2 linked regions of the Macaca mulatta genome follow. Each later gene encodes a partner of the first gene's protein in a complex. Links are inferred from orthologs where the notes say so. Each region holds a gene or a part of one and is shown on either strand. Other genes may lie near its edges. The genes, in order: GABBR2 and KCTD16.

Region 1 (4,459 bases):
CAGAGTACACATAATATTCCCACCTAGGCTTACAGAGATTAAATGCCCAGCTCAAGGTCATCCAGGGTGGAAAGTAACTAGTTTCTCACTAAAACCCAGGCTTCACCTACCCCAAAGCCCTGACTCTGGACCCCTTCAAAAGGCTAGAGACACTTCTCTGTTTGCACAAGCTGAAATTATCTTCTGCCTTCCTTCCCACTGTTTTCTAAATATTCCCACGAATTGAAGAGTCTTCTGACTGCCTCATCCTCTTGACTTTGGGTCCTCTCACTCAGAAAGTCATCAAGACACACTTGAAAAATAAAATGTAAAGGCTTCAACCCACACCCTGAAACGAAGCACCCATCTCTTTGCTGCCACAAACAGGCCAGTATGAAATCTCTTTCAGGGCAGCTTTCTAAAGGGAAGAAACTGATGATGAAAACATTATGCAGCTGACAATACTTGGTGATGATGCAAGCAGGGCTGCCCTATCTAAAAATGTGTTTGTCCCCAAAAGACCGGCTTTGCAGTGACCCCTCCAGAAGAATATGTGCGGTAGCAACAGAGAAACTGTCAAGAAGATATACCTCCCTGTAACTGCATTGCTCTCTCCATTTATGTGTGCCAGACAAGTACCCCCACAGAACTTGAGATGCTCGGGCAAAGACGAGGGCGACAGGAATGTCATTCGGAAATGATTTCACACCGGGTTAGCCCTGCACAGCCAGCCAGCTTGCATCCTCTGGGGCAGAGGACGCCTCTCCGCCTGCAGCAGCCTGCGCGCACCGCTGCCAACTGCCACCGGTTCCTTCACCTTTTATTTACAGCGCGGAGCAAGCTGGTTCACCGGTGAAGCCGGGGAGGCAGGGAATAAGATACAATCTAGATTCTGCTCTTTCTCTGGGGACATAAACAGGGTCCGACCAAGGAGGAGGGGAAGCCCAGATTGCACCACCAGAGCGGTAGCGCGACCCTCCCCACAAAAGGGTTCTGCACCTGGACTCCAGCAGAAGCGCCTGGAGAGTCCCAGGAAGCCAGGGTCAAGCCCAGCGCCTCGGCCCGCTCCGCGCGGTGGAAGAGGCGCCAACCGAGCGTACTGCACAGGAAATCACTGCCCCCTTCAGGCCGCGTCTCAAACGCTGCGGCCGGAGCACAGGGGCTCGCTCAGTCCGGAAAAACTCGCAAACCCGACCTTGCGCGGCCAGCGATCGCTCCTCCAGACCCGCTCCGCACGCTCCAGCCCTGGGCTGGCGGTGAAGGTCCGCTCTGGGGCTTCAGGCAGAACCCAAACCGAGGCCGTGGGGAGGGGTGTTGGGATGGAAAGCCCTTGGCTCTCTGGCTCCGCTCAGGACTGCTCTCCAAGTCCGTGCTCGGGCTACTAGGTAGGATGCTTCAAGCCTGAGCCGGGAGAAACTGCCTGCAACCGCCCGGCCAACAGCAGCGGCGCGGCCAGACACCACTGCACTTCCGGGACGAGAACTGCCAGGGCACTTTCTGAGCAACTAACCCGAGGCTGGGGTCTCCTTTTGAAATCGCTCTGGCCACAGGCAGCGCCGGGCGCGTCCAGGCAGAAGCGCTGCAGAGCCGGTGGCCCCACACCTGCCCGCGCTGTGCGGGCTCAGAGCTGCTGGCGCGCACCAGGCGCTCAGCCACGTTGCACGCTCAAGCCCCTTGGGTTCCGGAGCCTTCCGGACCTCAAAGCGCGGCTCGGCTTCCCTGGGGGCCTGTGAGCAGGCCCGCGGCCCCTCCGGCCCTGGGTGGCCCAGTTTGCAGTCAATGAGCCTGTTCCTCCCACTCCGCACCTCGCAGCCCCATGAGCGGGACCTGGACAGGGGCAGTCAATGTAGGCCTTTGGGGGTCCAGCCCCCACCTTCTCCACTCCTTTTTCTCAGGTCAAAAGAGACCCCAGTCTTCCATCCCACCCCCACCCCTCCCCACACACACATACACACATAAGACCAGAGGAGGGGGTGCTCGGCAAATGTTACCAGCTGTGCCAGCCAAGCCCAGCAGGACCGCGGGGGGTGAGCACTGGGCACCAGACCTCTGTGGCCTCGGCAGACGCGGGCCGGTCAATAGGGGCTCTGACCAAAGGCCGGAGGTTGCCCCTGTCCAAACCACCCACCCCACTGCCCCCCGAAGCCCCGACGGCACGGGCAGCCGGACACTCACCTCGGTGTCATAGAGCCGCAGGTCGAGGAAGTACGGGCGCAGGAGTGACTCGTTGCGGATCTGCTCGATGGCCAGTTCCACGGCGGGGAGCACACCGCGCCCGATGCTGCCCTTGGCCACCTCCTTGGTGAGCGGCATGAGGCCCATGATGGAGAGCGGCGGGCTGCTGGGCGGCGGCCGTGGGGCGCCCCGCGCCCAGCCCCAGGCCCCGGGCGCCAGAGGCAGCAGCAGCGGCAGCAGCAGTAGCAGCAGCAGGCGCGCGGGCGGCGGTGGCGGCGGCGGCGGCGGCCCGGGCGGCCCGGAGCTCCGCGGGGAAGCCATGCCGCGCCGCGGGCTGCGGGCGCCGGCTCACTCGGCCCGCATGGCCTGGCCCGGCCCGCCGCCCCGCGCCAAGCTCTTCCCGCGGCGCCCGCGCAATGGCGCCGGCCCGGGCCCCGGCTCCGTCTCGGGCTCGGGTTCTGGCTCCGCTCAGAACGGCCGCGGCGGCGGCGGCAGCGGCGGCGCCCGTGACGGATCAATCACGCCGGGAAGGGGTGGGAGCGAGCGGAGTGCGGGAGGCGGGGAGCAAGCGAGCAAACGCGGAGAGGGGGGCCGGCGTCTCCGCGCGCGCCTCTCTCCAGCGCTGCCGCCCCGCACCGGGCCGCCTCCGCCCTCCCCCGTGCGCGCTCTGAACCGCTCTCCCGCAGGGAGCTGCTAGGCGGCAGCCCCTGGAGCCGGGCCTGGGGAGGGCGGACGGCAGGAAACGCGGGAGGCGAAGGCGAGGCTGCTCAGCGGCGGCTCGGGCCGCCTCCAGGGACGGGGACGAGCTGTGCGCGCAGGGGGTGGGGGAGGCGCTGGCGCTGCGGCGGCTGCGGGGAGGGCCACCTTCCCAGCACACGCACACACGCGCCCCCGGCCCTCCGCCGCGCCAGCTGCCGCTGCCCGCCGACCGCTGACCTCCAGGCACCAGAGCGCCCGGGGACAGCGATCTGGGAACCGGGACCGCGCGCTGGCACACGCAGTGGCCGCCGCCGCTCCGCCGAGCGCTGCCTGTAGCACCTGCACTGTGGTTTGGAACCGCTTTTTGGAGGTCTGGCCGGGAAGGTCTCGACAGGCGAACGTTCCACGAAGGCGTCCCAGAGGCATCTGCAGCCTACGCTCTCCCGTTCTGCTCTGGCGCCCACGAGCCCCTGACCGAGTCCCAGGGGTCGCTGAAGACGCCTGCAGGTGCTCGAACGCCCGTTGGTGCCAGGCTGCCCGGCCTTTAGGGCCTTGGCTGAGGATACCCCTTTCCTCCCCACCAGACGAAGCGACCGCCCTTTGCCAACCCCAGGCAAAGCTGGGGTCCCAACCTTACGTGCGCTACCGCCCCCTCCAGGCATTTGACCTCCCCGCGTCCCCATTCTTGACGGGCTCCGCCCTAGAAGTCTCCCAGGGTGGGAGCACTATCCTCAGGCCAAGGCGGGGCCGCTCCCCTGGACTTGGCCTTGTCTCTGTCAGGTCGCACTGGCCAATCTTAGCCAAAGCAGTCCCGAGACAGATGTACCCAAGTGAGCTGACCTAAGACCTTGGATTCCTTGTGCCTCTGCATACTTCAAGAATAGGAAACGTGGTCATTAATCTATAAAGTCCCAGGGGCTGATTAATGCGAGGAACACAGTAGGACATCAAATCACAAAACATACTTGAGCCTGAACCAGGGACTGTGGGAGATATCGACGACCTTGTAATAAGAATGGGAATTTGACCTTCGCTGAGTACTTACTGTGCGCATTATGAAGTAATCCCCACAACCGCCCTGTAAGCATACTGTGTTACTCACCCTTACTTTACAGGTGAATACACTGGTGCTCAAGAGAGGTTCTGTAGCTAGTGAAAGCACACAGAGCTACTGGAGGACCGGAACCCAGAGCCAGCAGGAACTCCGTGCGCGGTGCAGTGGGAGCCAGGGATGTGGGACTGCAAGTTTCCTCTCCAGGAGGGGCACTGCCCTGACTCATTTGCTCTGGACATCGGTTCCCTCTGGCATATGGTGAGGGATTTGGACCGGATGATGATGATGATGGCTACACACCAGCTCTACTGGAGTGAGGCAAGGGCAGCTCTGAATCCAGGCTGAGTTGTTAGGAAGCACGAAGATGAGAGTGGAGGCTGAGCAGAACTACTAGAAAGTACCTTGGACAGCGCCAGGGAAACCAGGCCAAATTCTCCCTGCCCTAACTTCTCTTTCTAGGCTTCTGTAGACACCACCTCTCCTGGCTCCACTTGGCACTTCCTTTTCCCCAAGCTGGAGGGTTTGCATGAACAGAGCTCACCTGAGCATCTC
Region 2 (4,523 bases), on another chromosome or scaffold:
CCACAGATAGGATTAATGAACCAAATGATGTTTGTTATTGCACATCAGTATACTCCTGAACTGATTACTGATTTCATTTTTTTCCACAGGTTGTTCTGGCTATGCAATACGTGTGCCTTCACTTCTCAAAACCAAATGTGTGACAGCTTAGTAGAGAACAACTTGGCTTCCCACTAGCCTCTTCACCAAGGTTTCCAGCACCATTGCCAAATGAATAAACATAACTAAGGAAGAAAACCAGTCCAAGAAAGTCAGTCCTACTTTTATGTTTAAAGAAATTTAGATATTTTAATTCTGAATTCTGGATTTGTTTTAGAATAAGAATACAGGAAATCAAATGTTAACACTGGAAACACATTTCTTGTGGAATTTACTTCACCCAACTCCTGGGCCTGTTGAAAACTGGCAGTTAAAATCGAGTACCAAAGAGTGCAGGCTGATTTACTCTTCCTTTCAGAGATCAATGGCTCATAGTTTATAGTTTAGAATAATGCCATATCATAAAATGAGGAATCTGCAGGGTATCTTCATTTAAGCAAATGAACTTACCTCTAAGAACCCCTTACTTAAAAGGCTTCAGTATCATTGTTTCATTTCTTCCCTCTCTGGTTTCCTTTTATGTCAGTAATTCTATCACCTCAGCTGTCTGAAGGTGTTTGCATGTGATTGACAATTCTCAAGGATCTAGTTCCTTTTAGATAGATCTTAAATGAAGTTCAGCTTAATTAAGTCTGCAGTGCAACTCAGGTCTCAGTACAAAAGGCTTCAGAATCAAACAGCAGATTTGTAAAACCCTTAAAAGCAAATTTTAGACTTGGGGGGAGGAGGGGGCCTTTCAGCAGTCTGTACTGCCATCTAGCCAAGACCACATTATTCATGGCAACATCCATTTGTGTTTTCAAAGCCCCTGATGAAAGCAAGTCTTCAGCAACCAGCTTAATAGACCTCAAAGTCCAGCTAAATGAATAGACAGCAGTAATTTTTCCACTGAGTATACCAAGCTCCTATGGACAAACAGCCAAGATGCAATCATCAACCTTATTTTCACAATTCAATATTTGGCAAAAAAAAAAAAAAGATATACATGCTTGTTTCCATTTTACATATTGCATATACCAACATCATTTGCATCTTGTGATTTTGGAGGCCTTTGAATATTCTGTGACCTCATTGGATAAAAGTTGCCTTAGGTTAATCATGAGAGCTGAATTATAACCTCTAATTCTCTAACTATAACTCAAGAGTTAAAAGAATTCCAAACCATGTTCCTTAGGTATGGACAGAACACACAGACCATATACATTTGCGAAGAGAATTGACACACATAAAAAATTAAAAGAACCCTTTGTACTTACGGTAGAAGACATATTCAGTGTAGCTTGACCAGATCTTGTCATCTGTATATTGGTTGATGAAAGATGCTGTCACCGATGAGTTACAGGCCACCATGTGGAATCCACACTCTGACAACATATCAAAAGCCCTTTCCAGGTGCTTGAATTTGAGATAAAATCTGGAGGTGTATCTTTCTGGGGCTCGATCAGGGTCTCTGCTTTCATTCAAAGTTTCTCCAAAGACTTCTTTTGCCAAGGAAATCCTTCCACAAACCAAAATCCGGGGAACTCTCCGAAACTTGGCATCTGCCTGTCCCTCTCTGCCCAAGGTGCAGGATCCTCTGTAACCCACAGTAATGAAACCCCACTTGCGGTCGGTGGGGAGCAGGGAGGAAGGGGGACAGATTCTTGTGTCGCTTCCTTGGGAGGCATCTTCAAAGTCACTGTGGCAGAATTCATCTGGGCTTTGCTTGATTTCATCAGGGGTCAGGAGTTTGACCAAGTCCGGGAGCTGGAAGTATTCAGCTTCCCTTTTCAGTCTTCCTTTTTCTGGAAAGTGATCAGGCAGGACCACCTGCCTGTCCCTGAGATAGTCCAGAATATAACGGAACAAGAATCCATCTCTGTCAATGAAAAACCTTCCCTTAGAGTCCTTGGCTAGATCATTAGCCGTGTCTCTCTTTGGGGAAAACATTTTCCACAGGAAGGAATGAGGGATGCTTATCAATGTGGAATGGCGAGTAAAATAAACTTGACCCCCAACATTCAGCTCTACTACCTCAGGGAAGGAGTTTGGAACTGCGGCCCCTTGCTCTCGAGGATAATAACGACTACAGTTTCCACTCAGAGCCATTGTCCCTTTCTTCTGCTGCTGCTATTTTGATTTGAAGGTGCAATCCAATGGAGTCACAGCCTTATCCTTCGGATCAACTTGTAAGAAAGGGAAAAGGATGCTAACTTATTAAAAAATGACCTCCTCTTATCCCAGGTTTTTTCCCCCAAGAAAGCAAAATGTATAAGAGTCCACAGGTGAAGTGATGCTGAAAAAGTAGTTTAAACCCTGGATGGTAGATGGTAGTGAGCTGTTACTTCATAGAATATAATCAACTCATCTATATCCAATCTTCCGTCAAGCTCACAGGCAAGGCAGGCCAATTCCCCAGTTACTCAGATGTCCGTCTGAAGGAAAAGAGAAAAATTATTTCCTCAAACCCGGAATGAGTCAGAAAAAGAGAGTCCTCTGGAGAGAGAGAGAGGGAGGGAGGGAAAAACAGAGGGAGGGAGAGAGAGATTATTTTACATAAGCAGCTCTGGAACTACTGATCTCAGTCATTCTTCAATTAAATCATGCTTCTCTCATGCGATTTTGTGTCTACATGTTTATCTATAAGCCTCTGTCTCCAGCAATTAGTATGAAAAACAATTTTACTTGTAAGTCTACCTTAAAAAGAAACATGCAATTTTCAACTTCTAAATGGGGTTTTCTTTCAGCTGGACAGGAAAAGCAATAAGTCTTAGAGCTTACCTTAGTGAGTGCTGGAGACCCAGTTCTTGTGAAAAAAAAATAATAATAACCATTTGTAAAGCAATCAGAATCCACAGCCAAACTGAGTCTGGATCTTGTCAAATCCCAAACAGGTAAACGACCGAGGTATCAATGAAAAGTGCCAGAGAGGTGTGCTCTTGGAAAATAACTATTATATGTATGTATTTATATAAATGCCTATTTGTGTTTATGTAAGTATGTAGGTACATATGTATTCACTCCGTATCTTAAGTTAAAACAAGTCACAAAAAAGTTAAACCGTGATGAGAGGAGGTTGGGTTGAAGAAGTAAAGCAGAGAAAATATTCAACCAAAGCTTCCCCGTGGGGGGGAAAAATGGAAAAAGAAATCTTTGGAAAGGATCCTTAGAAGAGAGTTGCAAGAGGTACCAGGACTTAGAAGCTTTTCAGAAAGCCCAGAAGCAGAAAGATGGAGAGACGTGCCCTGCTGGGGTCCCAGGTAGCCACCCCACCTGCCGGCAAGGGCAAACAGACTCCCATGTTCCCAGCCAGGTGGGAGCCGGTGGGAGCCAGAGGCCAACGCAGCGCAGAGATGCCGGCGGGGGGCCCGGGGCTCCGGCTTCTCTGGTGGCGGAGCTGGGTGGTTCCACAGTTCCCAGTGCAGTTCGGATGCTGTTGTTTCAGCAGTGCAGGCAAGAAACCATCCAGGGAAATGACTATTACATCATCTTAAAGGAATATGGCTTAGAGGAAGCGGCGGCAGCTCCGAGTCACGTCCTCCTCCGTGACAGGTTGCCAGGACTGCATGGGGACGCCGCGCTCCAGCGGTGGGCACGCGATTGCCGGGCGCGCGGGGCTTGGGGCGGAGACGCAGTGCTGCGCAGCCACTTCCCTCCCTGTCCTGTCCTGGAGTCTGGAGTTTCCAAGGGCCTTTTCATTCTTTCTTGTTTTCACCTCCACCACCATCACCATCCCACAGCAAATCCCCGCCCCCCACCCAAGAGGTAAGTTGTGAGATAAACACAAGTGACTTTTTATTTGAAAAATCTACAAATCTTCCCCCCTCCCCCTTATCCCCTTCCCGCTCACGGAATTCCTGCTGAAGGGCAAATTTCTCTCTAAAGCTTGCTTTAAAACACAGACACGCACACCAAATGACCCCAATGTTCAAACTACAAAGTGGGTTTTATTTAATCCTTTGATTTAAACCATATACACTCAAATTCTCTCTTTTTTCTTTTCTGTTTCGTCTGCCTGCCACCACAACCCCTAGCAAATAAATAAATAACTATTAATATATACGTAGATGGGTAGATAAATAAACACTCTCTGAAATTAATGATGCTCTTTCGAAATGAAGACATGAAACACTGGCACCCACAGAAAGCCCACAGTTTGCATCCATCCATAAGTCATTATCTTAGCTTACCTGTAAGAAATTGATACCTGCAACCTTTTTCTGGGGTTGTTTCCTTACTGAGCATCTCTTTGGATGCGCCCCCAGCCCCCTCCCAAGTCATCCCAAGAGGACTCTGGTGGAAGGCACTCCTGCTAAAAGACATTTTACTCCTGTTCCAGAGGGCTCCCTTAAGTGCATCATTAGAGTTTCAGGAAGGCATTTCCAGGGCAACCTAATCCACTAACAAAGTGCTTCCAGTTGAGCCTGCCAGTCAATAATGGCCCA

The links.
Region 2: the proteins of GABBR2 (region 1) and KCTD16 are in contact, whole or in part, in a crystal structure (PDB 6M8R), measured with the Homo sapiens proteins. The link is inferred for Macaca mulatta from reciprocal best matches to the Homo sapiens genes GABBR2 and KCTD16. Residues at the interface, in NP_005449.5 of Homo sapiens: Ile882, Asn883, Ile888, Gln889, Arg891, Leu892, Ser893, Leu894, Gln895, Leu896, Pro897, Ile898, Leu899; in NP_001357415.1 of Homo sapiens: Asn30, Gly32, Gly33, Gln34, Val35, Tyr36, Asp64, Leu65, Ala66, Lys67, Asp68, Ser69, Arg72, Phe74, Gly79, Phe80, Arg83.

What each region holds. Positions count from the first base shown.
Region 1 is NC_133420.1:59,698,343-59,702,801, reverse strand, and holds the start of GABBR2 (gamma-aminobutyric acid type B receptor subunit 2), read right to left. Parts: upstream 2,963-4,459; 5' UTR 2,476-2,962; coding exon 2,155-2,475; intron 1-2,154. UniProt on the Homo sapiens protein: Component of a heterodimeric G-protein coupled receptor for GABA, formed by GABBR1 and GABBR2. Within the heterodimeric GABA receptor, only GABBR1 seems to bind agonists, while GABBR2 mediates coupling to G proteins.
Region 2 is NC_133411.1:153,077,170-153,081,692, reverse strand, and holds the start of KCTD16 (BTB/POZ domain-containing protein KCTD16), read right to left. Parts: upstream 2,869-4,523; 5' UTR 2,860-2,868; intron 2,514-2,859; 5' UTR 2,188-2,513; coding exon 1,356-2,187; intron 1-1,355. UniProt on the Homo sapiens protein: Auxiliary subunit of GABA-B receptors that determine the pharmacology and kinetics of the receptor response. Increases agonist potency and markedly alter the G-protein signaling of the receptors by accelerating onset and promoting desensitization.